7 linked regions of the Rattus norvegicus genome follow. The protein of the gene in region 2 purifies or fractionates together with the protein of the main gene of each other region. This does not show direct contact. Links are inferred from orthologs where the notes say so. Each region holds a gene or a part of one and is shown on either strand. Other genes may lie near its edges. The genes, in order: Polr3c, Polr1d, Polr2f, Polr1b, Uxt, Polr1e and Polr3b.

Region 1 (3,500 bases), on a different chromosome or scaffold from region 2:
CCTCTTGATTTCCTGCACTGACATTAGCTACGCCAACCCGAAGAGAAAGTAAGATTCTATGTGCAGTCAAGACAAATTCAGTCCCCGCCCTGCCATGGTGGGAACTGGCCTAGATGGCTGCCAAAACAAGTTCTGCTGCTCATGGGCTCTGGGTCCCCTAACCTGGGACCTGGGGATAAGTTTGGCTGCAGACACTGTACTCTAAACATAGGGGTTCTCAGGGCAGACAAAAGGCAAGTCCTGGTATTTCAGCTCAGGCCCAGTTGCTTTAAAAACAAAATTTAAAGAGATTCATTAGACTCTTTGCTAGTGATCTGATGCTTACTAGGCTGTGGGAGGTATGCTGTATGTTCAGCAGTGGTGAGCTATATAGCGTCAGGCCTTTCCTGACTTTCTTTTGGGTCCTATCTAGGTGAAAAAAGCCCTTTGTGTCCTCATTCACCATAACCTGGTCATCTATCATGTGCATAAACGCGGTGTGGTGGAGTATGAAGCCCAATGCAGCCGGGTACTGCGGATGCTTCGGTACCCCCGGTACATCTATACTACCAAAACACTGTATGGTGACACTGGAGAGCTGATTGTTGAGGAGCTTCTGCTGAATGGCAAAATGACAATGTCGGCTGTTGTGAAGAAAGTAGCAGACCGACTCACAGAGACCATGGAGGGTCAGTACTGCATCTAAGCTCCCTGCAAAGGCATAGATAAGTTAGCTGCTCCATCATCTAGACCTTCTCACCCCACCCCCTTTCTTCCTGTTGTACAGATGGCAAGACCATGGACTACGCTGAGGTGTCAAATGCATTTGTTCGACTGGCAGATACTCACTTTGTACAGCGCTGTCCCCTGGTTCCTGACACTGACAGTTCTGACCCCGGGCCGCCGCCACCTGCCCCAAACCTTGTCATTAATGAAAAGGACATGTACCTAGTTCCCAAACTGAGCTTGATAGGTAAAGAGTTTACATCCTGGGGGTTGGGGATTTAGCTCAGCGGTAGAGCGCTTGCCTAGTGAGCGCAAGGCCCTGGGTTCGGTCCCCAGCTCCGAAAAAAAGAAAAAAAAAAAAAGAATTTACATCCTGGAATTGTGGCTTGCCTTAATTGGGGATTCTTCTTCACTAATTGTTATTTGAATGAGCATCTTGATTGTTTACCAGTTCCTTGCTGTGTGCCAGTCACTGTAGTATGTAATAATGAGTATGTAATAATGTAAAAGCCAGGATCCCTGCCCAGAAGACATTAATCAGCCACACAGATATGTTATTCGGGGTCTGAAGAGGTGGCTCACTGGCTCTCTTCCTCAGGACCCAGATTCAGTTCCCAGCACCCATATGGCAGCTTACAACTGCCTGTAACTCCTGTTCCAAGGGATCTGACTCCATGATGCAGGCAAAACACCAGTGTACATAAAATTGAAAAAAAAGAAACAAAAGATATGTTATCCACTGTGATAAGAACTATGAAAGAGCTAGCTATTTAAAAATGTGTAATGAGGGGCTGGGGATTTAGCTCAGTGGTAGAGCGCTTACCTAGGAAGCGCAAGGCCCTGGGTTCGGTCCCCAGCTCCGAAAAAAAAAGAACCAAAAAAAAAAAAAAATGTGTAATGAGGGACTGGTTTTGTGCAGGTGGTTAAGGCTTACGTTTTTCTGAAAAAGTGGAATTTGACCTGGGTCTTAAAGCAGAAGTAGGACCTGCCCAGTGAAGTGACCTAAGATGGGTACTTTTTAAAGACTTGTGTGTAGTAAGAAGAAGAAATAGAGCCTTCGAGAAAGTGAAAGGTCAGAGTCACAGCAAGGTGAGCAAAGTTCTGAGAAGCATGGGAGAAGAGGAGAGGGAGGACCAGGTAAACAGGCATTGCAGAGCAACTGTTCTCTAAGCAACAGCAAAGGAAGACTACGCAGGTGTTAAGCAGGAAAGCCACATGGTCTGATTGACATTGTAAATTGTCTAAAAGACTGAAAGGCCAGGGCAAAGGCAAATAGAGACGGACTATTGAAAAAGTAGTAGCATGGTTTGTACTGCTGCATGCATGGGAGCGCAGTGCTGCCATTCACTGATAGGCGGTGTAGGAGGAGAAGCAGTTTGAGGGCACAGACTATGGATTTTCTTAGGTGGCGCCCCCACTGACTGGAGTTTCTCATGACTCCTCGGCCTCCTAAACAGCTCCTGAAGCAGACAGCTACAGATGTCTGTGAGCTTCGCTTCCTGCCATCATGTGGTACAGTCTAATTATTTGGTGACTTTATTTGGCAGGAAAAGGTAAGAGGAGGAGATCATCTGACGAAGATGCTGCTGGAGAGCCCAAGGCCAAGAAACCAAGATGCACAGATAATGAGGAGGTAACGGGGCTTCCTGATTAGCAGTCCTCACCCTAGAGCATCCAGAAACAGCCCTCAGATAATGAGCTCTGACAGAACCTACATGTTCCTGGCTAAGAAGGAGTGGATTATGAACTTCAGTACACTATTCAGGGGCACCAGTGAGGACAGAGTGTCCCTGCTGTCTCTGTCCACCTCTCCTGCCCTTTATACTGAGGAACCCTGAGAACTCCTGGGAGTCCAGGGGACTTTTGTGGAAGGACAGCCACTCCATTTCCCTTCTGATTCTTAACTTATTTCACTAAATAGTTGTACTAACTTACTCAAAAGAGAAAGCAGGGCTGGATGTGGAACACTTGAGATACAGAGGCAGGAGGATCTCTCTAAGTTCAAAGCCAATCTGGTCTACATACTTACATTATGATTCATAACAGTACCAAAATTACAGTTATGAACTTGCAACAAAAATAAATGTATGGTTGGGGGTTACCACAACACAAGGAACTGTATTAAAGGTCACAGTATTGGAGTGGGGGAGATGGCTGGGGATGTAGCCTAGTTGGTAAATTGCTTGTGGCATGCAGGAATCCCTGGGTTTGATTCCCCAGGACCAAATAAAAGCAGAAATGGTGCCCAATGTGATACCTTTAACTGCAACACTTAGAAGGCAGAAACTAGCAGATATCTATGAGTTAGAAGCTAGTCTGGTCTACAGAGTGAGTTCCAGGAGCTACATAGTGAGGCCCTATCTCAAACAAAACAAACCAGAAATGGCACTACATAGCTATAATTCTAGGACTCAGAAGGTAGAGACAAGAGAATCAGAAGTTATTCTTGACTACAATGTAAGTCTAAGGCCAGCCTGGGCTACATGAAACCCTGTTCCCAAAAAACCAACAACCAAATGAGATTTTTCAGCTAAGCTATCAAGTCCTAACAATCCTTTTCCCTTAGGTGCTGAAATTACAGACAGGTACAAGATCATGTCTGCCTTGTTACATGGATGCTAGGAGCCAAACTCAGGTCCTTATAGTTCCACAACAAATGTCTTTAACTTCTGAGCCATCTGTCAAGCCCCCAGGACTATCTGTCATCTCTTGGCAGCACTTCTCCAAAACTCTCCTCAGTGATCTTCCTTCTGGCATTCTTACCCAATTAGTGGCCAGAACTACTTCTTAGCTAC
Region 2 (3,065 bases):
TGGTTTACAGTAGGTGTTGGGTGCATTCCGGAGGGGGTCAGGTTGTCTGCAGGCAGAGAGGAGAGGCCTACCTCATCTCGGCTACTCTCTGCCACCAGCTTTTCACTCTCAGAGCCTCCCACCCACACACAGCGACATCCCCAGCGGGTCGAGTATCAGAAAGGAGATCGCTTCTCCAGTCCTGGAGACGGGCGGTTTTCTGCTCCATGCGGACTTGCTGCTTGCCAGTGGGTAGTTCCTGCAGCCAGGCACAAGAAAGAGTTAAAGAGACTTGTTTTTTTGGCCTTTGGCTTTTTTACGCTCTGGTGGATAGACAAACAGGAGGTGATCTCAGTTGAGCGGGGAGGCTGGGAGGATTGTACATTTGTCATAGATAAGCCCTTTGCCATATTTCAGAACCACAGAAATCCAGTCTCTCTCTTGTGCTTTAAAATTATGGGGCCAGAGAAGTTTGCTGAGACCCCACCCCACCTCCAGCCGAGGGACTGAAGCATCGTCGGCCCCTGTGCCAAGCTCTTCTCTTTTTGCCTGATAGCACTCTGCAGCATAGTGAGTGCTTCCTGGTCCTGCTGGCCACCTCCCTCTCCTGTCCGTACTGAAGGTAAATTGGAGTCCTGAGTGGACTGCTGTGCAGTCACAGTCTGTACCAGTGGTCCATGTGCTGCAGCCCTGGGGCTTTCAGTCCGCACAGCAACCCTTTGTATGCCCACCTGCTTCTGTCCCCTCATAGCAGACATCGCCCACTGAGAGCCTGGCTTATCTTTGTTGCACAGGCCTAGTATAATGTCCCGCATACATAAGGTTTTAAGTATAGTAAATGCTTTTACATATGCATTTGACACAGGCATATATTCATCCAGTGTTTCACATTCCTTTTCGGGACAGTGTTGGGGACGTGGTAAACCTTGGGAGTATGTAAATAATGAAGGAGTGTCATTTCTCAGATGGCCACACGCTGAGGCATTTGATTGCCAGATTGTAATGCACTAACTACCACGGGTGATTATAGTAGCTGTGGCGGTATTAAACAACGACATGAGTTGTGGTCAACCATGGCTTCGGGATAAATGTCACCTCACTGCATGGAGGGCCTGCCCCTGCCCCAGACCTTCCATTCATTCTAGACTCGTAGTCTCCATACTTGTAGCCTCTGTATTGCAAAGGGTGTATGTGGAGCAGAAGATGGGGTGCCATTGCTGGTGTGGTGGCTTTGTCTGCAGCACAGGGGCAGCGAGCTGCATTTCGTGCCTCTTGCTCTATGACCAAGCACCCTCTTGTCTGCTCTAAAGATAACTGGGAATCAGCACTCGCCAGGGCCTGTCTGTCATGCTGTACTCACCTGAGTCAGTCAGTGCTTCTTTGCTCCAACATTGTCCATGCCGTGACTGTCCTGTGTCCCTGAGTGGCCAGTCACCCCTCACTGTATGTGCCTCTGCTCATTTGCTGGAAGGAACCTTAGCTGTAAGTGCACTGACACACTTCTGCCTGCAGTTGCTTCCCTGCTTGCTGGTAGCTAGACACTTAGACTGTGGTGAGTTTTCCCTAAATCCACCATTGCCGGGCTGTGGTGTGACTGCTGTGGGGACTGTAGAGTCTGATGAGGTAGCACTGTAACGTTCAGGCACAGGGCCATTGCGCCACCTTTCCAGGGCCTTGGCTGACCTGGTACTTGAATTGACCTGGTACCCCACGCTGGTCTCAAAATCATGGCAGTCCTCCTGCTCCAGCACTGTATGGCAAGGAAAGCCAGACAAACTCAGGAACTGGTTCTGTGGGGCCTGAATTCTTTTGTACTGATCTGGCTCGTGGGCCAGACAGGGAGGGAATTTAACTCTTGCATTTATGATGTCTTCTTCCCTCTTCACATCCACAGGATGAAGTGTCCTCTCGCTGGTACGAATAAAAGATTCCTTATTAACACAATTAAGAACACATTGCCCTCCCATAAAGAGCAAGACCACGAACAAAAAGAGGGCAGTAAGGAGCCTGGCAAAAGTCAAGACCAGAAGGAAACAAGTGGGAAGAAACACAGAAGCCACTCCTACAAGCGCAGCCTTCACTCAGCCCGGGGCTCAGTGGGCTGCTCTCCTCCAAGGAAGCGGGCCTCCCGGGACAAGTGTGACCCAAGGCCCAGCCGGCGATGAGATGGCTGCAGGGCCAGCCCAGCCCGTACTGCACCTGCCACTGGGCGCAGCGAGGCAAGGAGGCCGGGAGGTGGCGGGCTCTGACATCCGAAAGTGACTTCCTCAGTGGGTCCTTTGTTTTACGGTGTCTCTTGGTACTGTGTTGTTGTTCTTGTTGCTCTTGTTAACAGGAAAAGAAAAACTTTACTAAAGCAAATCGTAACTACCTTATCCTGAAGGCGTCGTGGTGAGAGCAAGCTGATTCCGCATTGCCCTGCACATCGATGTTGTCTTTATCTACCTTACCTGAAGTTCGTTTCAAACAAGGAGTTTTAGAATTTGAGATTTTGAGCTTGTTAGAAACTCCTAGTTTTTTGATGTACTGCACTTTTGTGGTCATTTCCCAGAATTTCTCAAAAAATAAATAAAATATTTAAAAACACTATGGTTTCCTCTTTTGGGTACCAGATGCTAAGCTCACAGTCTGAGGGACTCCGCCATGCTGCCAGTCAGCGCTCACTCGGAGAAGCAGGCACAAGGGCAAGTATAGGCTAATACTGTGCCCCATTTCACTGCTCCCCAGACTCTCGGCTATGGATGTGTGCCATAGCTAAAGCTGTGTGGAACTTACTGAGAACAACACTTGCTTCCTCCTGAACCTTCCGGCACCCTCCCCCAAGTTCCGGCCTTCCATATTAGTGAACGTCTACTTCGTGGCTGCAGATTCTTCTCATTTTCATTTAAAGACAACAACAAAACCAAAAACGTTTGCTCCAGGGAGATGACTCAGTGGGTAAGGTTGCTTGCCACAAAGCCAGTCACTTGAGTTCAATCCCTAGAACCTATCCAGAAGGAGACAGCCGACTCCTACAGGGTGACCTCTGACCTCCATGTGCACACGCGCGCGCACACACACACACGCACACACAAATAACACTCTGA
Region 3 (3,473 bases), on a different chromosome or scaffold from region 2:
TCACAGGAGTGAGGCGTCCTGACAACTCAGTCTAAGCCAACTGGATGGTCATACTCTGTGGGAGTAAGATGGATCCTGCTTAGTCCGGGCTTTAGTGTTCCTTCCCCTAGGGAGCCCATGCCCTCTGTTCAAGCACAGCCAGGCTGGATTCTGTACACTGAGGCCTGGGCTGTACCTTTGCTTAGGGGCTGAATGAAATGCCATCTTGGATAGCTTTTGGCGAGTCCAGTCTGGCCTGCGTGCGCCACCTGCTGGCTGATGTCACTCACCTCATCTTCACTGGATGATGGTGACATGTTTATTTTAGTAGCTGCAGCACAAGACAGTCACTTCAAAGCCTGCGCTTGCATGTCTGTGGGGCACTGATGAGCGATGCCCTTCAGTTACTGCTGTGATGTGAGGAGAGAGTGGACACGGCCGGTCAGGTCAATGGTTACTTATGTAAAGCACTCTGTGTATGTATGGCAAACTAAACAGGACCTTACATGTTTTACTGCTGAGCTATACGTCAAGTTTTGGGGACATTTCATTATGTCAGAAAAGACATTTGGTTTCTGCTCTTTGGAAAATTTCAGGATTTTAGGATTAGCAGAGACCAGAATATTTAGTCACAAACTAATAAATGTCAGTCTCAAGGTGGTCCCCAGAGTCACCCAGGTACCTCTGAAGGTATAATTCTCAGACCCCCTCATGAGCTGAGGGATTCTGTCTGGATCAGCAGTTAAGAGCACTTGGTGCTCTTGTATCCAGTGTCCTCCAAAGGCACTGGAAACCTCCATGTAAGCAAAACACCCATACACATAAGAAAATCATTGGTCTTTTATGGCCTGGAGAAGGCACTGGCCCTTGATTTTGGATGCTTGTTCGTAAGTCTGAATCTATTGGCGTCAGGCTGTCCAGGGTTATTAGAAGCGTCTGTCTGCAGGAGACAGGCCTGGAGTTGATGTGCCCTTGTTTGCCATTGGAAGTTTTGCTTGGACCAAGCATTAGCTGGGGCCTGGGCCCTCATAGTGGATCATGTGTGGTTCTGGGCCACCAGACAGATGTTCATAGTCTGGTGTGGACAGTAGTATGGTGGCTTTGATGCCAAGAAACGCATGTTTAACTCACCGGGGGCACAGAAGACAGATTCCCAAGGCTCAATGGTTGAGAGCACAGACTGCTCTTCCAGAGGTCCTGAGTTCAATTCCCAGCAACCACGTGGCAGCTCACAACCATCTGTAATGGGATCCGATGGGACACTCTTCTGGTGTGTCTGAAGAGAGCAACAGAGTGCTCACATAAAAAAAAAAAAAATTAAGTATATCTTTAAATAAAAAAAAGGAGACAGAGGTGGGTGAGGACAGAGAGTAGAAATGAAAGGGATCTGTGCCTGTTGTCCATGTTGTGACAGAAGTCCAGAGGACAGGCTTCTGGCTTAGTACATTTGGCTCACAGTCCTGGAGCTTAGAAGGTTCAAGAACATGGCAACTCACCTGTGGGGCCTCAAGCTGCATCGTAATATGGCAGAGTGCTGTTATTTGGTAGAACTGAGCAACCTTGCTAGCTTGGATTTCTCTTCCTTTAATAAAGCCACTTAGGCTATCATGGTGGTCACACCTTTGTGGCTTTCTTTCTTTTTTTTTTTTTTTTTAATTTTTTTTTTTTATTTATTTATTATATATAAGTACACTGTAGCTGTCTTCAGACACACCAGAATAGGGCATCGGATCTCATTATAGATGGTTGTGAACCACCATATGGTTGCTGGGATTTGAACTCAGGACCTCTGGAAGAGCAGACAGTGCTCTTAACCACTGAGCCATCTCTCCAGCCCCTTTGTGGCTTTCTAAGAGCTCCTTCTCCAATACCGTCGTCATCTTAATTTGGGGGACACTTAACCATAACCTAGGGGAGGCATGGAAGTTTGTTCTGGCTTGAATGAGGGGCCAGGCTGGAAGAGTGTCACTCTTCTGGGGGTGTTGCTATGCAGGGCCTTCTCTGATGGGGTATGACATGCAGATGACTTCAGTATGTTACCTGGGACATATCCCAGCACAGTGGTGAGGAGCAGACCTTGGCTCTGCCTCTCTGCCTACGTGACCTGGGGCAGGACACCTTTTATATTGGATAGTTTATGTATTTACATTTCAAATGTTATCCCTTCTATGAAGATGTTCCCACTCCCACCGCAACACCCTGGCATTCCTGTACACTAGAGCTTCACCTTTCTGTACCTAGTTTCCATGATAGTAAAGTGGAAGTCAAAGTAGGCCTCTCCCACTGAGGCAGAGGTCATGGCAGGTAGCTGTCAGTGTCTGGCGTGCAGAGCCTGTCTGCTATCTGGTTTTTGTCATTGTTTCCCCAGTGAGGTAGGGATCTCTTCTTCAATTTTAGAAGAGGCTGTTGGGATGTGGAGAGAAATTCGGTGACTTGTGCTTACAGGCACAGTTTAAATCCAGTCTGCCAGCCTTCCCTCTGCTCAGTGGTGGCTCCCTGAACACTGCTGCCACCAGGCCTGCCTGTCCAGGTGACCTTGCTAGATGAGGATCAGGACAGCAGATCCACCTTCTCTGAGCCTTGTCTGCTGTCTCTCCAATCTTTCTCTGTCTCTGCAGGATGTGTGCCCCAGTAATGGTGGAGCTGGAGGGGGAGACAGACCCTTTGCTCATCGCCATGAAGGAACTCAAGTAAGTCTGCCCCTCCTTCAGAGTATCTCGGGCCTCTTTAGACCTGTGGCTCATGCATGGCCAGCCCCCGGGAGCCAAGGGAGGGCATTTCTGTGACACGTGCTACTACCACCTGTTCTCTGCTGGGAGCCAGGGCACCAGCTCTCACTTCATTCGACTTCTCCCCACACAGGGCCCGGAAGATCCCCATCATCATTCGCCGTTACCTGCCAGATGGAAGCTATGAGGATTGGGGCGTGGATGAGCTCATCATCAGCGACTGAGCAGAGCTGTCAGGCTGTGCCAGGCACCATCTCTATGCCCATTTTATACATGTAAATAATAAACTTCACTCTTCACACCCCCTCTGCCCCTGTTGCCTGCATGCTGACACCTGCTGCTTTCTTGTTCCTGCCCTACTACAGGATGGGCATACATTGAGGTGACCCTGTGACTGTTAGCTCTTTCTAAAGCACCAGGGCCCCCATCCCATCCCTCCATCTCTCCCCATGCACCAGAGCAAAAGCTGCTGCAGGGAGACACCTCAGCTGCCTTCTCAGCAGACAGATGAGTCTTTGTGCCCAGGGAGCTGGTTGCCACGGAAACCCCCAATTTCCTTTCCAGTGGGGACTGGCTGCAGGGGCTTCTCCCTTCTCAGGAGTATCACAGAGCAGGTTTCATCAAGCCAGCCATTGTTCCTAGGGACCTGCCTTGAGCTCTTATCGAGGACTCAGATCCCCTTTCAGGAGCGGTGCTTTAGCAGGAAGCGTGGGGGTGCAGTGATCCCCCACTGTCCCCAGGCAGAGCCCTGTTGGGCAAGGCAGC
Region 4 (3,500 bases), on a different chromosome or scaffold from region 2:
TGCACCTCTTGCCTCGACAGACTGCACTACCTGGTACAGTAAACCCAAACAAGCTCCTATGTCTGAATGCTCAGGCATCAGAAGTGGCACAGCTAGAGAGGGATTAGTAGCCTTGCTGGGGTAGGTGTGGCCTTGCTGGGGTAAGTGTGGCCTTGCTGGGGTAGGTGTGGCCTTGCTGGGGCAGGTGTGGCCTGCTAGGGTAGGTGTGGCCTGCTGGGGTAGGTGTGGCCTTGTTGGAGGAAATGTGTGTCATTGAGGATGGGCTTTGAGATTTCAAAAATAAAAATAATAAAATAAGTTTTTAATTATTTAATGTTTAGAAAAATCAAGGAAAAGAATTCATAGCATGGCAGCTGCTGGAAAGTAAGAGGTATTTTTTTGTTTGTTTGTTTGTTTTTCTTTTTTTTTTTTTTTCCCGGAGCTGGGGACCTAACCCAGGGCCTTGTGCTTGCTAGGCAAGTGCTCTACCACTGAGCTAAATCCCCCAACCCCCCCCCCCTTTTTTTAAATGTGGCTAACAGAGGAAGAGCCTTTACTCTGCACATATGTTGAGTGTAAACCTTTGGTGAGAACTGCATGAGACTGAGCCAAGTAGCTTAACTGAGACTAAGAACCCAGTTAAACATCAGTCAAGACTGGCGGCTGGGGGTTGGGGATTTAGCTCAGTGGTAGAGAGCTTGCCTAGGAAGCGCAAGGCCCTGGGTTCGGTCCCCAGCTCCGAAAAAAAAGAACCAAAAAAAAAAAAAAAAAAAGACTGGCGGCTGACCGCACCTTCAGAGAGGCCTATCAGGGGCCTAGCTTAAAGGGCTACCAGTGACGTTAGCTGACACAGAGATTACTGAAACACTATAACATAGTGTAAACAGTAAACATAACTCACACTCAAGAAAAACTACAGTCAGTGGACAGCAGTCCTGGGACCACCCCAACATTGGAACAGTAACTTTACAGCATCCACTAATCAGGCTCAACATACACAGGAAAACAAGCCCATAGTGAAGAGGGAACAAATCCCCAGAAAACAAACTGGTAACAAGAACAAACACCCCAACACAACAGGTCTAGACCGAAAGACAACTGGAGTTCAACTCCTAGAACCAGCATAAAGGCAAGAAGAGAGACTATTCCACAAAGCTGCCCTCTGACCTCCACCCTCATGCCGTCCTCTGACTTCTACCCTCATGCTGCCCTGTCCTCTGACCTCACCCTCATGTTGCCCTGCCCTCTGACCTCACCCTCATGTTGCCCTGCCCTCTGGCCTTCACCCTCATGCTGCCCTGTCCTCTGACCTCCACCCTCATGCTGTCCTATGACCTCCACCCTCATGCTGCCCTGTCCCCTGACCTCCACACTCATGCTGCAATGTGCACACCCACACACATAACCTGCACACACAGCAAGGTGAATAACCACAGGGTTATTTATGAAACGCATGGCTAAGTCTTGAAAGAGGAGAAGCAATAAAGAGGAAGAAATAAGTTTTGAAACCCTTGAAAATGTTCCAAAGTTGATCAGTTTTTTTCTTATAAAGACCAGTAAATGCTATCAGAACACAAAGAGAGTCACATCTAGACATACAGCTAATCTCCTGAAAACAAAAATAAAGAACAAGTCCTTTTGTTTTGTATTTTCAAGTCAGGGTTTTTCTGTGTAGCCCTGACTGTCCTGGAACTTGCTCTGTAGACCAGGCTGGCTGCAATCTCAAGAGATCTGCCTGCCTCTGCCCCCTGAGAGCTGGGATTAAAGGTATGTACGCCATCTTGTCCAGCTTCAGAACAAATCTTAAAGAGAGGGAAAACAGTACACTAAGCAGGAAAACTATAATTTGCAAGCCCTGCCTTCTAGTTAGAAGTAACAGACACAGTGAAATAAAAGGACATGTCCACTCAGGATTATATAGTCAGTGAAGATGTCCTTCAGGTGAGCATGAAAAAGAAATTTCGGAATAATGACCACAAGAGGCTCTGTATTAAGTGAACAACAATATGCCACAAGGATCCAAGTGTGGTGTGGGATGACAGAGGCTGGAGGATACAGAGTTCAAGACCAGCCTAAGGAAGGCTGGGGGTGGGGGTGGGGGTGGGAGTGGGGGGTAAAGAAATGACGAATGCTGAGAGCGTGACTCAGACAGACATGAGGAGTACTGAAAGCAGTAAGGAAGCACCTGATGGTAACGGTGCAAGTCACAGGACCTCAGCAGAGAAGCCATCTTTGAAAATGCAAAACAGAGTTCTTCTGCACCACGGAAGACAAACACACACACTAATGGGACACAAGAGAACTGGACACAGGCCTTTGCTTCCCCACCTCCCTTCAAAGAGAATGAGGACTAAAATATGGAGTGCATACTGCTCTTGCAGACATTTACTGATGTGTGGGGGAAGGCACCATTATGCTTGAAAAAGCAAACTGGGCAAACTGGGGACACAACAGATGACTCATCTGTGGGCATTCTTCATACTATTCTTGAAACTCACTGTAAGTTTGATCATTTCAACTTAATTTACAAATGCTTTTTGTGCTGTGCTCACCCCCAACCCTCCCCACCCACCTTACCCATCTGGCACTGGTACATGTTCCGAGGACTCTGGTTGTGATCAGAGAAGGGGATGAAGTTGGCTATCACGCTCAGCAGGCTGTGAGGGAAGAGCTCCTGGTGTGTGGAAACTCCACCAAAAACCTCGTCCTCGAAGATGGCAATGTTCATGAAGAGCTGGAGCAGAGGGAGGGCAGGAAGGCAGAGGCATGAAATCCTGTGGCGGTCGTGCTGCTTCCCAGGGGCTGGTGCTGGGGCTGCCAAGTGCTTGTATCACCCAAATCACTTATGAGCTCTGCCAGAAGCACGGACCGCTTCCAGACAGATGTCCTACTCCCTGCTATTAAGGTGCTAGAGTTAGGACCTAGAGTCTTCATGCCAAGCTTTCCGCCACTGAAGGACCTCCCTAATGCTTTCCCTGAGATAGTCATCCTGTATCTACCCTGTCCAACTGTGGAGGGCCAGAAAGGAAGACAAATGTTCATTTATTTTGGACAGGGTTTCTCTGTGTAGCCCTGGCTGTCCTTGAATTCAGATCTGCCTACCTCTGCCTCCCCAAGGCTGGGTACTGTGCACCACAACACCCAGCTTCAGTTTTCTAAAGTAGGCACAAATCTATTTGTCAATGGCAAAGACGTAGGTGATGACCGAGACGAGTCAACAGGATGCCTTGGTCTTAGCAACTGGGACAGAGCCAAGTGTAAAGGAACTGAATGCTGGACAGCACAAAGGGTAGTCATGTGAGCACCAAGCCTCCCTCCCCCAGGTTCCTGGAAGCGTGGCAAGACAGCAGCACTGGGCAAAGAGAGCCAGAGCGTCAGCTTGACTCCTATCAAATACTTTAGAAAGCGATGGCTGAGGCTCTGCACGCTGCGTTCTACAGAAGCAGCACTGCAGCGGGTACCTACCTGCTCCATAGTTCCAACGAGCTCTTCTTTGCCCAGCTCCAGGTTCTGCACAGGCC
Region 5 (4,150 bases), on a different chromosome or scaffold from region 2:
TTGCATCCTCATTTTTTTTAGCTCTAGCCCTGAAGAGGAAGGTAGTATGTTTTTTTTTTTTAAAGTACCATCCCAGGTAGCTACGGGGAAAAGGGTAGAGTATTGAAATTTATGATGTCTATTTATTATTTTTTTCTGTTGTTTTATATAGAGGGATTTGTTTTATCACCCAGAGTGGCTTCAAAATCAGGATCCTCCTGCTTGATCTTCTAGAGTCGTAGGATTACAGGTATGAACTACTGCCGTATCTGACTTTTATATATTTTGTGTATGTGTTTGTGTGGTGTGTGATACGGATAGAACCTAGGGCTTCACACATGCTAAGCAAATGTTCTTACCACTTCCCTGCACCCTTAGCCTTTAGATACTATCCTCCTGGAATGAACTCACTCTGTGAGGAGGGAACTCTTTCGGTCAATGAACTTGAGAGCTTCGGCCAGTGTCAGTTCCAGGAAAAAACCGTATCCCAGGGCCACATAGATGCGTGAAGTATCTGGGCTGAGGAAAGAGGTCGGAGGAAGTGGAAGAAGTCTTTATTACCATTTAGCATACTGTATATAGTTTAAGGTGTTTCCTATTCCTTCCTATTCCCCAAGTGAAGGCTCTGTAAGGGCAGATATTTTGTGTTCATTTCTCCCACGACCACAACATGTTGCTTATATCTTAATGTAATATAAAAGCTACTAAAGCCTGGTATACAGAAAATACTAAGAAATACTTGTTCCATGAAAAAAGGGAGAAATTTAGAGGGGAGAGAATACACTCACACCATTGTGTCAACGAAGAAGTTACAGCCCAAATCCACCTGCATATATAACTCCGAGTGATTAGTTTCCTATAGGGCCAGGAGAAAAGAGGTAGGTGTCAGTGGCCAACTTTTAAGGCAGATAAAGGTTTTGTTCTGGGGGTTCTCTTCCCGCCTCCCTTCTTTGTACATATACACAAAGTGGCACCCAATTTAAAAGCCTTTACCTGGAGTCGCTCAATGACATTTCTTAGTTGAAGGTATACAGACAGCTGCTCATATACCTTGTCTCGATGGTCCAGTACCTTTCTGATACGTAGAAATACAACAGTGAATATTAGGCAGTCTTACTCCTTTTGAGATGCAGCACATCATGCCCTACTAGGCATTTTAAGCCAGATGGGGTTGTTCATGGATGCAATCCATGGGCTGAGGCAGGAGGATTATGAGCTCAAGACCAGCTTGTGTAACATAGTGAGACCCTGTGCCTGCTCCCCCAAACACTCATGATGGGGCATAGATAAGGACACAGCCGGCATTTCAATAAATATAGGTGAGACTGTACTTCATCCTGACCTCTACCTCTTGCTAGTAATGTGACTATGGAAAGTAGGAAACCTGTTTGGGATTAAGTTTCCCCACATAGAAAATAGAGATGGTAGTATTAGCATATAGGAGTCATTAGAATCAAGTGTCTACTACAAAGTGTTTTAAATGCTAGCCAAATGGTAAGCATTATATACTTAGAACCTATTACAATGATAAATATTGCATTTTACTCAGTGACTTATGCCAATTAAAATGTCCCATCTTCACCCTAAATATACCTCCCCGTTTCTTTTAGCATGATTACACAGCCCTAGTTCTCAATACCTAACTTTTTATTCAGATTAGTAATGACAGCAATAGTAATCATCTAGTTGTTGAGCTTTTAGTGTATTTCAGGCACTGGAGGCAAATTCCTTTTTCATAAAAGTTATCCAGGTTATTTCCAGAGACAATATCTGAGTTTCTCACGCTGGTATTGAATTTGTAATCACACCAAACAATCCTCTCCTCTCAGCCTCAATATAATAGTAGTTGGGTTTATCTGCATTAAACATGTGTTTATTTTGTGTGCATGTATAGGTGCCATGATACACCTGGAAGCTTTTTGGGAATCTTTTTCCTTCCATCATGTGGCTCCTAGAGATCTACGTTAGGGCATGGTGTTGGAGGCAAGCCATCTTGCTGGCCCTAATTTGCTTGTTTTGAGACATAATATCAGAGCCCAGGCCATACACAACCTCGAAATGTAAGTGAAGGTTACCCTGAACTCTGGATTATCCTGCTTCTGATACCATCCCAAGTACAGGGATTGCAGGCCTCTGTCACCACACTAGTTTTTTTTTTTTAAATAAAATATTGTTATATATTTCAAGGCTGGCTTGTAATCCTGGCTAAAAACGTGAATTTCCCCATCTCTCCACTAGAGATGGCACACACCATGGAGCCTGAGCCTGGCTTTATTCTACTTTTCCCCCTTTGAGACAGTCTGTAGCCCAGTTTGGTCTCCAGCTTACAAAGATCCTCTTGCTTCTCCCTCCTGTGGCAGAATGTGTTGGAGTTGACACATTTAAAACTCAAACACCACGTTAAAAAGGCCTAATAAACTTTTCCATTTCACAGATGAACGAAGTTCATAAAGCCTAGAGAGGCAAAGTAAGGTACAACTTGTTCATAAATATTAATTAAATGGCTTAGTTAGAAACACATTAGGTTCGGAATGACTATTTTAAACCAACAAACATGGTCGGAGCTCTGCTAAAGGGATAAGTTCCAACCAAATCTCAGCCCAGAAGTCAACCTTCTTCCCAGAAATCTGGTTGGCCAACCCGAAAGTTTGGCCGCATTCAATCCCACCCACCACGTCGAATTTCTCAAACGTCACGCCTCCCGCGTTGCCACTCACTGCAAGTCTCGCTGCAGTACGTCACTGATAAAGGCCTCATACCGCAGCACTTTCTCCCCCACCGTATCCAAGGCCCGCCGTTTCGGGGGCGTCGCCATTATGTGCTCCTGGGGATTGAAGGGGGAGGACCCACGTTGAGCGCTCCAGTTTAACTTCACAAAGTTCTCATATTGTGCACGACTTCTTTCGACTCGTGCTATGGAGTTCCTTCTGCCCAACCCTACTTTAGGACTAGTTCACTCACCGATACGCAACCGCGACGTTCACCTAGGGGCCACCAGCAATAACTGTTATAACGAACCGCGGCTTCCGGCTGGCGCGGATGGATGACGCATTTCCAGCACCAGAGCCAACCATAATCGATGGGGCGGGGCTGCCCTTCGTGCGAGAAGACGCATTTAAGGGAAGAGCTGCAGGCGGGGCCTGAATGAGTCCCTGGAGGTAGCAGGGTCACGCTGTTGGCCTGCAGGCAAATAAATAGTCGCGAGCTGGCGGGAGACTGGTTTGGGTGACGTTTAATGAGTTTTGGCGGGTTCTGAGGAAAGGTGGACTTACAGGAAGGTAGGGAGAGGGAGTTAAGTGTTTATAATTTCTTTGAAGTGTGTGTGAGAGCAGTTGTGAGCTACCGTGATGTGGGTGCTGATAATGGAGTTCACATTCTCTGCAAGAGTTGTGTGTTCTTAACTGATGAACCATTTCTGTATTCCTCCCTCCCCACTCTTAAATTCCTTCCTATTTTATGTGTTTTGTTTGCATGTTTATGCACCACATGTGTGCAGTGCCCACAAAGGGTAGAAGAAGTTGTGGGATTCCCTGGAATTGGAACTACTGGCAGTTTGTGTGCACCATGTGGATGCTGGGATCGAATGGCCAATGCTCTTAACTACTGAGGTATCCATATAGTCCCTACTTTTTTCTTTTAGAAACATTTCTAGTCTTTGAGAATTTCATAGATGTATGCAATATATTTTCATTATCTCCACTCCCTATTCCCTCCAACTCGTCCTAGACCCTTCCTACCACATTCCCCTTCCAATTTCATATTCTCTTTAAAACAAAAGACCAAATCAAAACCAAACAAACAAAAACCTCACTGAGACCACTTAAGCATTTAATAATTTAAAAAGCACAAGAGTGCCTATAGACCAGCAAGTATTATGGTACTAATCTATAAGGAAGGCAGGATATCTTGTGGCTCGCGCTCTCTCTCTCTCTCTCTCTCTCTCTCTCTCTCTCTCTCTCTCTCTCTCTCTCTGTGTGTGTGTGTGTGTGTATTACACACATAGTTTGGTTTTCACCCTCCAAAGGGCACATAAAAATGTTTAAACAGAGACAAATTTTAAGAAAATCATCTTAAATGAATTTCTGCTTGATACCTTGTCCCCCAAACCAAAACCAAAACCAAAATTTCGTGCTACATATATTTAAAATTCAATTTGGTGTGCTTAAAACAG
Region 6 (3,138 bases), on a different chromosome or scaffold from region 2:
CATCCTCGGGCAAAGGCAGAGTAGTGGCTGGTGACTTGGCGAAGCTAGCTGGGAGGGGTAGGGGACCCAGGGAAGGGCAGGGGACCCATCCCAGTCAGGACACCAGCTGGCTGTTGGCAGAGCTAAGCAGAGAATGTGGCCGGAGCAAAGGAGCCATTGTGTTTTTAAAGTTGCACGGTAGGTATGAGTGTGTGGCCACCACATACGCTCCTGGAAACAGGTGGAACTGTGAGTTTTTTTTCAAGCCAGGGTTTCTCTGTGTGGCTGTCCTGGAACTCACCCTGTAGACCAGGCTGGCCTCAAGCTCAGGGATCTGCTTGTCTCTGCTTCTCAAGTGACTGGATTAAAGGCCTGTGCTACCACCGCATGGAGGAACTGGAATTTCTAACTTTACAAACTGACTTTCTCAGTCTGAAATAAAGTGTTATAACACTACCACCAAAACAGGGAAGGAAGGAAGGGAGGAAGGAAGGAAGGAAGAGAGGAAGGAAGGAGGGGAGGGAGGAAGGGAGGAAGGAAGGGAGGGAGGAAGGAAGGAAGGAAGGGAGGGAGGGAGGAAGGGAGGAAGGGAGGAAGGAAGGGAGGAAGGAAGGAAGGAGGGGAGGGAAGAAGGAAGGGAGGAAGGAAGGAGGGGAGGAAGGGAGGAAGGAAGGAAGGGAGGAAGGAAGGGAGGGAGGAAGGTAGGAAGGAAGGGAGGAAGGAAGGAAGGGAGGGAGGAAGGAGGGGAGGGAGGAAGGGAGGAAGGAAGGGAGGAAGGAAGGAAGGGAGGGAGGAAGGGAGGGAGGGAGGAAGGGAGGGAGGAAGGAAGGGAGGAAGGGAGGGAGGAAGGGAGGAAGGGAGGAAGGAAGGGAGGAAGGGAGGAAGGAAGGGAGGGAGGAAGGGAGGAAGGGCGGAAGGGAGGGAGGGAGGAAGGGAGGAAGGAAGGAAATGTAGTTTGATGTCAAGGTAATACATGATTGGACAATAGAGAGTGGAGCAGGGACAATGTTTTTGTAAGTCGGGAGAGAGGAGGAAGGGGGATCGAGATGGAGTCTTCGGAGGAGGATGGTTCAGATTTAGGTGAATTAGATTGACTTTATCTTGTCTAGGTGGGTGGTTTATATCTTTATCAATTGGCAGTGAATTTTCTGTGTGGATGAATTGTGGATTGAGAATTTAACGTGTAAATCTAATTGCTAAATTACAAGTTTCTGGAACTTTTGATTTTACTGGGCTAAAGAGGACAGTGTGTGAAAGAAACGGCTGAGAGGCAGTTGGAGTGTGTGGATCTGGTTCTGTTGCCCTCAAGGAGCGAGAACCCGCAGGGCCAGCAGATATGTGTGTGTCAGAGTGGTAACTAGCACCTAGGGGACCTCGTGGAGAGGGCGGCTAAAAGGAGACAGCCGGGAGAGGGCGGCCTGCAGACCTCATAGCAGAGTAGCAGCTGGAGCGAGTGGGTCCGGCTTGCGGGAGCAGATAGAAAATGTTCCTTTTTAAATTTTACCACAACAATGAGAGAGAGGGAGGGAGGGAGGGGGAGAGAGAGAGACAGAGACAGAGAGAGAGAGAGAGACAGAGAGACAAGCCAAGTTCGATGGGGCACTCTGGAGGCAGAGCAAATGACTCTGTGAGTTCAAGGCCAGCCTGGTCTGTACAGAGAGTTCCAGTCCAGCCAGGAATATACAGTGGGACTGTGCTGTCCTACAACACCAAAGCAGCCTGAAGGTGCAAATCGAAGCTCTGACTACTCTGTCACTGCTGTCTGTCCTGACGCACTCCCTCTTTGTTCCATTTGACCTGGATACAGTGTTTTCCTAACAAAACAAAAGCAGTGAATGTGCTCCCTGGAAGCCCCATCCACCCTGTCCCCATTTCCAGAACAGAACAAAGAAATTCAGAGAGGAGAGGCCTGTGCGGCTCAGGCAGGCAGCGGGAGCAGGAGGAAGGGCAAGGTGCACAGAGGCCCTGGACAGACATCGATGGAGGTGATGTCAGAACCACAGACAAGCCAGCAGCTGGAAAGAGCTGGGATAAGAGAATGCTGTGGGCCTTACTTTTCCCTTTTATCACTTTCTGAGCTCGGAATCTGAGGAGGGCATCTAGGAACCAAATGCTCCGGGCTTGCCGGTTTCGCTGCACCTCGTCTGCTGGCAAAGACTTCAGCATTTCTATGATGAAGGAGCAGTGGCTAAAACAAGAAAGGGTCACAGCAGCACATGAGGGGAAGCAGGCTCTCAGGAGCCACACCCCCTCCCCAGCACACCGTCCATACACCCAGAGCAAGACGGCTAAGGAGGCCCGCCCTTCAGGGTGCACCAGGTTTGACTGACAGACTCCATCGCACTGAATAAGGTAGACAGCAATAGTGGATGACTCCTATAATCAAACTCCACGTGCACCCACACGCAAACACATACACCACGCACACACAAACACATAGGCATTCATACACACTCAGACACACACACGCACAATCAAATTTTTAAAGAGTAGGGGAGAGATGGCTTACTAGAGTATTGCTGCTCTTGCAGAGAACTCCAGTTTGTTTTCTACCACTCCCCTGGGCCATTCCCAACAGCCTGTAACTACAGATCTAGAGGATCCCATGACACCCATGTCATAGGCACACATACACACATACAAAATCTTAGAAAAGAAAGGAATAGTTAGAAGAAAAGGCTCAGAACTAAGAAATAATCTGACTATCATTTAAAAAAAAGTTGTTTTAATGGCAAAAGAGAAGAGGGATGGATAATCTCTGTTATTTAAAATAAATAATGTTTAGAATCCGTATTTAATTTTAGTTAAGTCTGTCAGCATGCTGTCACAGAGAAGCCTTGCTTTGGGCTCCCAAGCTGGCCTTTGGGCACTGACAGTGACACTCTGCTTCAACAAACAGTAGAGGCGGGGCAAGCTTTGGTCCCCGGCCCCAGACTACAGCACCTTACTATCATCTCCCAGCTACAGGCTCTACACACATGACCACTCCTCTTCCTTGAATCCACCCACAGCTCCTGGAAGCCTAGCATCGAAGCTTGCTCCTTCCTTCATTCCAGGCTGCGCAGACGCCACCCATGCTTCACGGGGCTGCTTTCTATCTGACTGGTTTTTCCCATGACTCACTGAAACCCCATCTACCCACGAGTACCTGTTCTCTTC
Region 7 (3,500 bases), on a different chromosome or scaffold from region 2:
GGCATTGATACAGGTTTCCTTAAGTAAGTCATTCTTAGGATGTTTAAAACAAAATGAAACAAAACCTCATCCTATGAAAACTCTAATGGTTTCCTTCATTTAAGTATGGTTCAGTCATGTAGTTAGGTGTCCATTTTTTAAAAAACACAGTCATCGCTAGACCTATGGCCTTCATTTCTACTCAGGAATGAAATTATCCAGAGAGTGTGCACCACCACAGGCCCCATTCAGTGCAGCTTCCTAAACATAAGTGCACTGAAAGATGCGGCAGGGCCACCTGCTGTGTGCTATGCACAGCTGTGCAGACAGCTGAGGTCTACACTGCTCCCTTGGTGCCCACATGGGTTTTCCTCTCTTTGCCATTCACCTCCATGCCATTCACTTCCATTCAGGGACGCACTGAGCCTGCTTGGGAGGGCGTTTGTGCCCCTCCACCTGCCCCCACCCATGTTCCTGATCTTAGCTAGACGCAGCAATTGCATGTATGTGGTTTACTCTGTTGGTGATGAAATAGCATTGGGTTGTAGGTCCATGAATTCTACTATGAGTTACCATCCCTGAGGACCACAGTCACTTACTTATTAGAACTGCAAAGACCCTTGGCTGACCACCTTGATGCACAATCAAAACTGAATTGGGGAGGTCATGCAGTGTCCATGACAGATAGGGACAAGAGCAGGGTCTCTCAAGGCCCTTGCCACCATGACTTCCTGGGGTGCCATTGGGCTGAAATTCACAGAGCAGCTCAGTGACTACAGCGGCCCTCACTCGTGTACTGGCACAGGAGAACTGGGGCAGGCAGGCTGGGCCAAAGACTGCAACCGCCTTTCTGCAGTTGGTGGCTTCCTCTGCTCTTCCCACTTGACCACATGCTTTGCTCAAAGTCAGCTTGTTTTTCAGACAGGCCGCTGTGGCAGGCAGAGAGAGCACGGGATCTGAACCTGGTCACCCCTCTCACTGCTCTTACCTCACCTCTCGGGCTCACTGGGCTGTCTCTACACCGTCAAAAGTAGAGGCTCAGTACACTAGATTAAACAGCGCTGACGAGAACTTCCTTCTCTTTGAGGAAGGACACTTGGGGAAAATGAAGAGCGTTTTGAAGGTGTCCAATCCTTGGCTCTTTGCTTCTGACAAGACCTTTTTTTTTTTTTTTGTCACAGCACTCACTTTTGAGATTTTTACTATATTTATTTATATTTATTCACTAGTGGGATAAGCTGTGTAGCAAACATTTATCGAGCACTAGTTGTATGCCAGGCAAGCTCATAGATGCTGGCACCACTGTGGCAAAAGACAAAGAACTGACTTCTCACGGGAAGACAAAAGGCAAAGAGACAAACTGATTATACACAAAGATGCTGGGAGCGCTACAGGGTGGAGTGGTGGAAGGGGTGGTGGAGCGTGAGGGAGGAGGGCTCCTTCAAAAGGCTCCCAGCTGTAATCCTAGCATGGGGGAGGTGGAGACCAAAAGCTTGCAGGTTTGACAGCAGCCTGGACTGTGTGGAAGTTCCAGGCCAACTGAAGCTGCACTGTTGCCAGGGCCATGCTTGTACCTGACAGAAGAGCAGTGTCAGTGTGGGCCAGGGGGAGAGGTCCTGAGGTAGAAGGTGTGATAGCCATGTACAATTTGGACTACATAGAATCTCAGAAGAAGCCATTGGGGATTCTAGAGCAAGAATATGCTCTGATTTCCGGTTTGGGAGGACTCTCTCTGGATGGTTCCAGTAGATCAGATTGTCTAGTGCTGAGAGTAGACGAAAGATCCACCTAGGAAGAAAAGCTGTTGGCCTGGTGCGGCAGGTGAAGAGGGTCATCCTGCTGATGGTGTTTCTCTGTGAAAGCATTATCTTCTCAAACAGTGGCGTGCTTCTGTAGCTTGGTCTAGCCTTGCACTGACTACAGGCTGAAGCTTGTCCTCACACAGTCGGACACAATCTCTGAGAAGACAATTAAGGAAATCCTCCAGATGATGAGACCTAGTGCAGGCTGTCTGTCCAGTTACCCAAACTCTGTTGCCTAAACCCAGTGTTGCCTTTTCTTTCAGTGAGCCCTTAGAAGCCTACATCTATTTTGGGCCTGTGTACTATCAGAAACTGAAACACATGGTGCTGGATAAAATGCATGCCCGGGCCAGAGGACCACGAGCTGTCCTTACCAGGTACAGAAGCACTGCGTGTATGTGTGTGTGTGGTGTGTGTGTGTGTGTGTGTGTGTGTCTATGTGCGTGAGTGTGTGTGTGCATGCGTGAGTGTGTGTGTATGTGCGTGTGTGAGTGTGTGTGTGAGTGCGTGTGTGAGAGTGTGTGTGTGAGAGTGTGTGTGTGTGTGTGTGTGTGTGTGTGTGTGTGTGTGTGTGTGTTGGGGCTTTGGGGGAACTGCTGATTTCTCTGTGGAGGTAAACAGTCCCAGCCAAGTTTCTGTTTCCCTTAAGATACCAATTACTTAGGTGTGTTAAACATTGCCTTGGTTACTTTCTATTGTTGTGATTAAACATAAGGAAAAGCAACTTGGGAGGAAAGAATGTAATTAACTCTTCAACTGTCAGGTGATACTCGTCACAGAGAGAGGCCAGGGCAGGACCTCAGGCAGGAACTGAAGCAGAGGCCTTAGAGCTACTTACTGTCCTGCTCCTCCTGCTGTCCGATACCTCTAAGACCACCTGCCTAGGGACAGCACCGCCCACAGTGAGCAGTTCCTGCCACATCGCTCAAGAATTAGTCCAGAAACTATCCAACAAGCTTGCCTACAGGCGACCTCAGGAAGCATTTTCTCAACTGGGGTTCCTTCCTCTCAGAAGACTCTAGCATAGGTCTAGTTGGGAAAAAGGAAAGAAAAGAAACAAACAAAAAACTAGCCAGCACAGTTGGTCCCATGTGAACTCAGCACAGTACTATTCAACAGTAACGTTTCCTTTCTTGTTTGTCCCCACAATGTCATATTAATATTAATATCATAATGTAAAACATCCCAACTTCTAAAAGTTCCGTGGTCTTTAAAAAAATTCAAACATTTTAAAAGTCCAAAGTTTCTCTAAAATTCTGAAGTGCCCTCAGTGTAAGCTCCTGTGTAACCTAAGAACAAGTTGGGTATTTCCTTCCTTCAAGAGGGAAGAGTCATGTAGAGACACAGCCAGTTCAAGGCATGGTGTCAGGGTTGTGAGCTCGGAGTTGGCAGGAAAGGAAGTTAGGACTGCTGTCAGCCTCCTGTAACTACACGTCTTCATGTGAAGAGAAAAAGTATTGGGAAAAATAAAATTACATCACAGGCCTGTTAGATGGCTCCATGGGTAAGGGTGCCTGCAGGCCTCGTCTCTCCACAGTCCCTCTCATGGACCAGGTACAGGCACACAAAGACAGGTGTCCAGTAAGGACCTGCTCCCTTATTCTCACTGAGCATGCTGTACCGGGAAGAGACTGGGAAGCCACCGTTTGGCTTGGCTTCTTAAAAGCCAGACTCAATCTTGACCATAACTTGAACAGGTGCAATGCCTGTTAAAATCAT

What was found.
Region 1: the proteins of Polr1d (region 2) and Polr3c purify together in Homo sapiens (affinity purification with mass spectrometry; 3 studies listed by BioGRID and IntAct, with this or other methods). This does not show direct contact. The link is inferred for Rattus norvegicus from reciprocal best matches to the Homo sapiens genes POLR1D and POLR3C.
Region 3: the proteins of Polr1d (region 2) and Polr2f purify together in Homo sapiens (affinity purification with mass spectrometry; 4 studies listed by BioGRID and IntAct, with this or other methods). This does not show direct contact. The link is inferred for Rattus norvegicus from reciprocal best matches to the Homo sapiens genes POLR1D and POLR2F.
Region 4: the proteins of Polr1d (region 2) and Polr1b purify together in Homo sapiens (affinity purification with mass spectrometry; 5 studies listed by BioGRID and IntAct, with this or other methods). This does not show direct contact. The link is inferred for Rattus norvegicus from reciprocal best matches to the Homo sapiens genes POLR1D and POLR1B.
Region 5: the proteins of Polr1d (region 2) and Uxt purify together in Homo sapiens (affinity purification with mass spectrometry; 3 studies listed by BioGRID and IntAct, with this or other methods). This does not show direct contact. The link is inferred for Rattus norvegicus from reciprocal best matches to the Homo sapiens genes POLR1D and UXT.
Region 6: the proteins of Polr1d (region 2) and Polr1e purify together in Homo sapiens (affinity purification with mass spectrometry; 3 studies listed by BioGRID and IntAct, with this or other methods). This does not show direct contact. The link is inferred for Rattus norvegicus from reciprocal best matches to the Homo sapiens genes POLR1D and POLR1E.
Region 7: the proteins of Polr1d (region 2) and Polr3b purify together in Homo sapiens (affinity purification with mass spectrometry; 6 studies listed by BioGRID and IntAct, with this or other methods). This does not show direct contact. The link is inferred for Rattus norvegicus from reciprocal best matches to the Homo sapiens genes POLR1D and POLR3B.

What each region holds. Positions count from the first base shown.
Region 1 is NC_086020.1:186,944,463-186,947,962, reverse strand, and holds part of Polr3c (DNA-directed RNA polymerase III subunit RPC3), read left to right. Parts: intron 1-61; exon of another isoform or gene 62-197; intron 198-412; coding exon 413-668; intron 669-766; coding exon 767-952; intron 953-2,252; coding exon 2,253-2,338; intron 2,339-3,500. UniProt on the Homo sapiens protein: DNA-dependent RNA polymerase catalyzes the transcription of DNA into RNA using the four ribonucleoside triphosphates as substrates.
Region 2 is NC_086030.1:13,084,005-13,087,069, reverse strand, and holds the end of Polr1d (DNA-directed RNA polymerases I and III subunit RPAC2), read left to right. Parts: intron 1-1,873; coding exon 1,874-2,144; 3' UTR 2,145-2,565; downstream 2,566-3,065.
Region 3 is NC_086025.1:112,599,537-112,603,009, forward strand, and holds the end of Polr2f (DNA-directed RNA polymerases I, II, and III subunit RPABC2), read left to right. Parts: intron 1-2,597; coding exon 2,598-2,669; intron 2,670-2,841; coding exon 2,842-2,932; 3' UTR 2,933-2,973; downstream 2,974-3,473. UniProt on the Homo sapiens protein: DNA-dependent RNA polymerase catalyzes the transcription of DNA into RNA using the four ribonucleoside triphosphates as substrates.
Region 4 is NC_086021.1:136,804,130-136,807,629, reverse strand, and holds part of Polr1b (DNA-directed RNA polymerase I subunit RPA2), read right to left. Parts: coding exon 3,445-3,500; intron 2,714-3,444; coding exon 2,557-2,713; intron 2,547-2,556; exon of another isoform or gene 1,345-2,546; intron 1,290-1,344; exon of another isoform or gene 133-1,289; intron 1-132. UniProt on the Homo sapiens protein: Catalytic core component of RNA polymerase I (Pol I), a DNA-dependent RNA polymerase which synthesizes ribosomal RNA precursors using the four ribonucleoside triphosphates as substrates.
Region 5 is NC_086039.1:3,678,554-3,682,703, reverse strand, and holds the start of Uxt (protein UXT), read right to left. Parts: upstream 2,801-4,150; 5' UTR 2,795-2,800; coding exon 2,697-2,794; exon of another isoform or gene 2,652-2,696; intron 1,055-2,651; coding exon 973-1,054; intron 836-972; coding exon 768-835; intron 499-767; coding exon 391-498; intron 1-390. UniProt on the Homo sapiens protein: Involved in gene transcription regulation. Acts in concert with the corepressor URI1 to regulate androgen receptor AR-mediated transcription. Together with URI1, associates with chromatin to the NKX3-1 promoter region.
Region 6 is NC_086023.1:64,085,123-64,088,260, reverse strand, and holds part of Polr1e (DNA-directed RNA polymerase I subunit RPA49), read right to left. Parts: coding exon 3,128-3,138; intron 2,168-3,127; coding exon 2,034-2,167; intron 1-2,033. UniProt on the Homo sapiens protein: Component of RNA polymerase I (Pol I), a DNA-dependent RNA polymerase which synthesizes ribosomal RNA precursors using the four ribonucleoside triphosphates as substrates.
Region 7 is NC_086025.1:20,936,134-20,939,633, reverse strand, and holds part of Polr3b (DNA-directed RNA polymerase III subunit RPC2), read left to right. Parts: intron 1-2,044; coding exon 2,045-2,158; intron 2,159-3,500. UniProt on the Homo sapiens protein: Catalytic core component of RNA polymerase III (Pol III), a DNA-dependent RNA polymerase which synthesizes small non-coding RNAs using the four ribonucleoside triphosphates as substrates.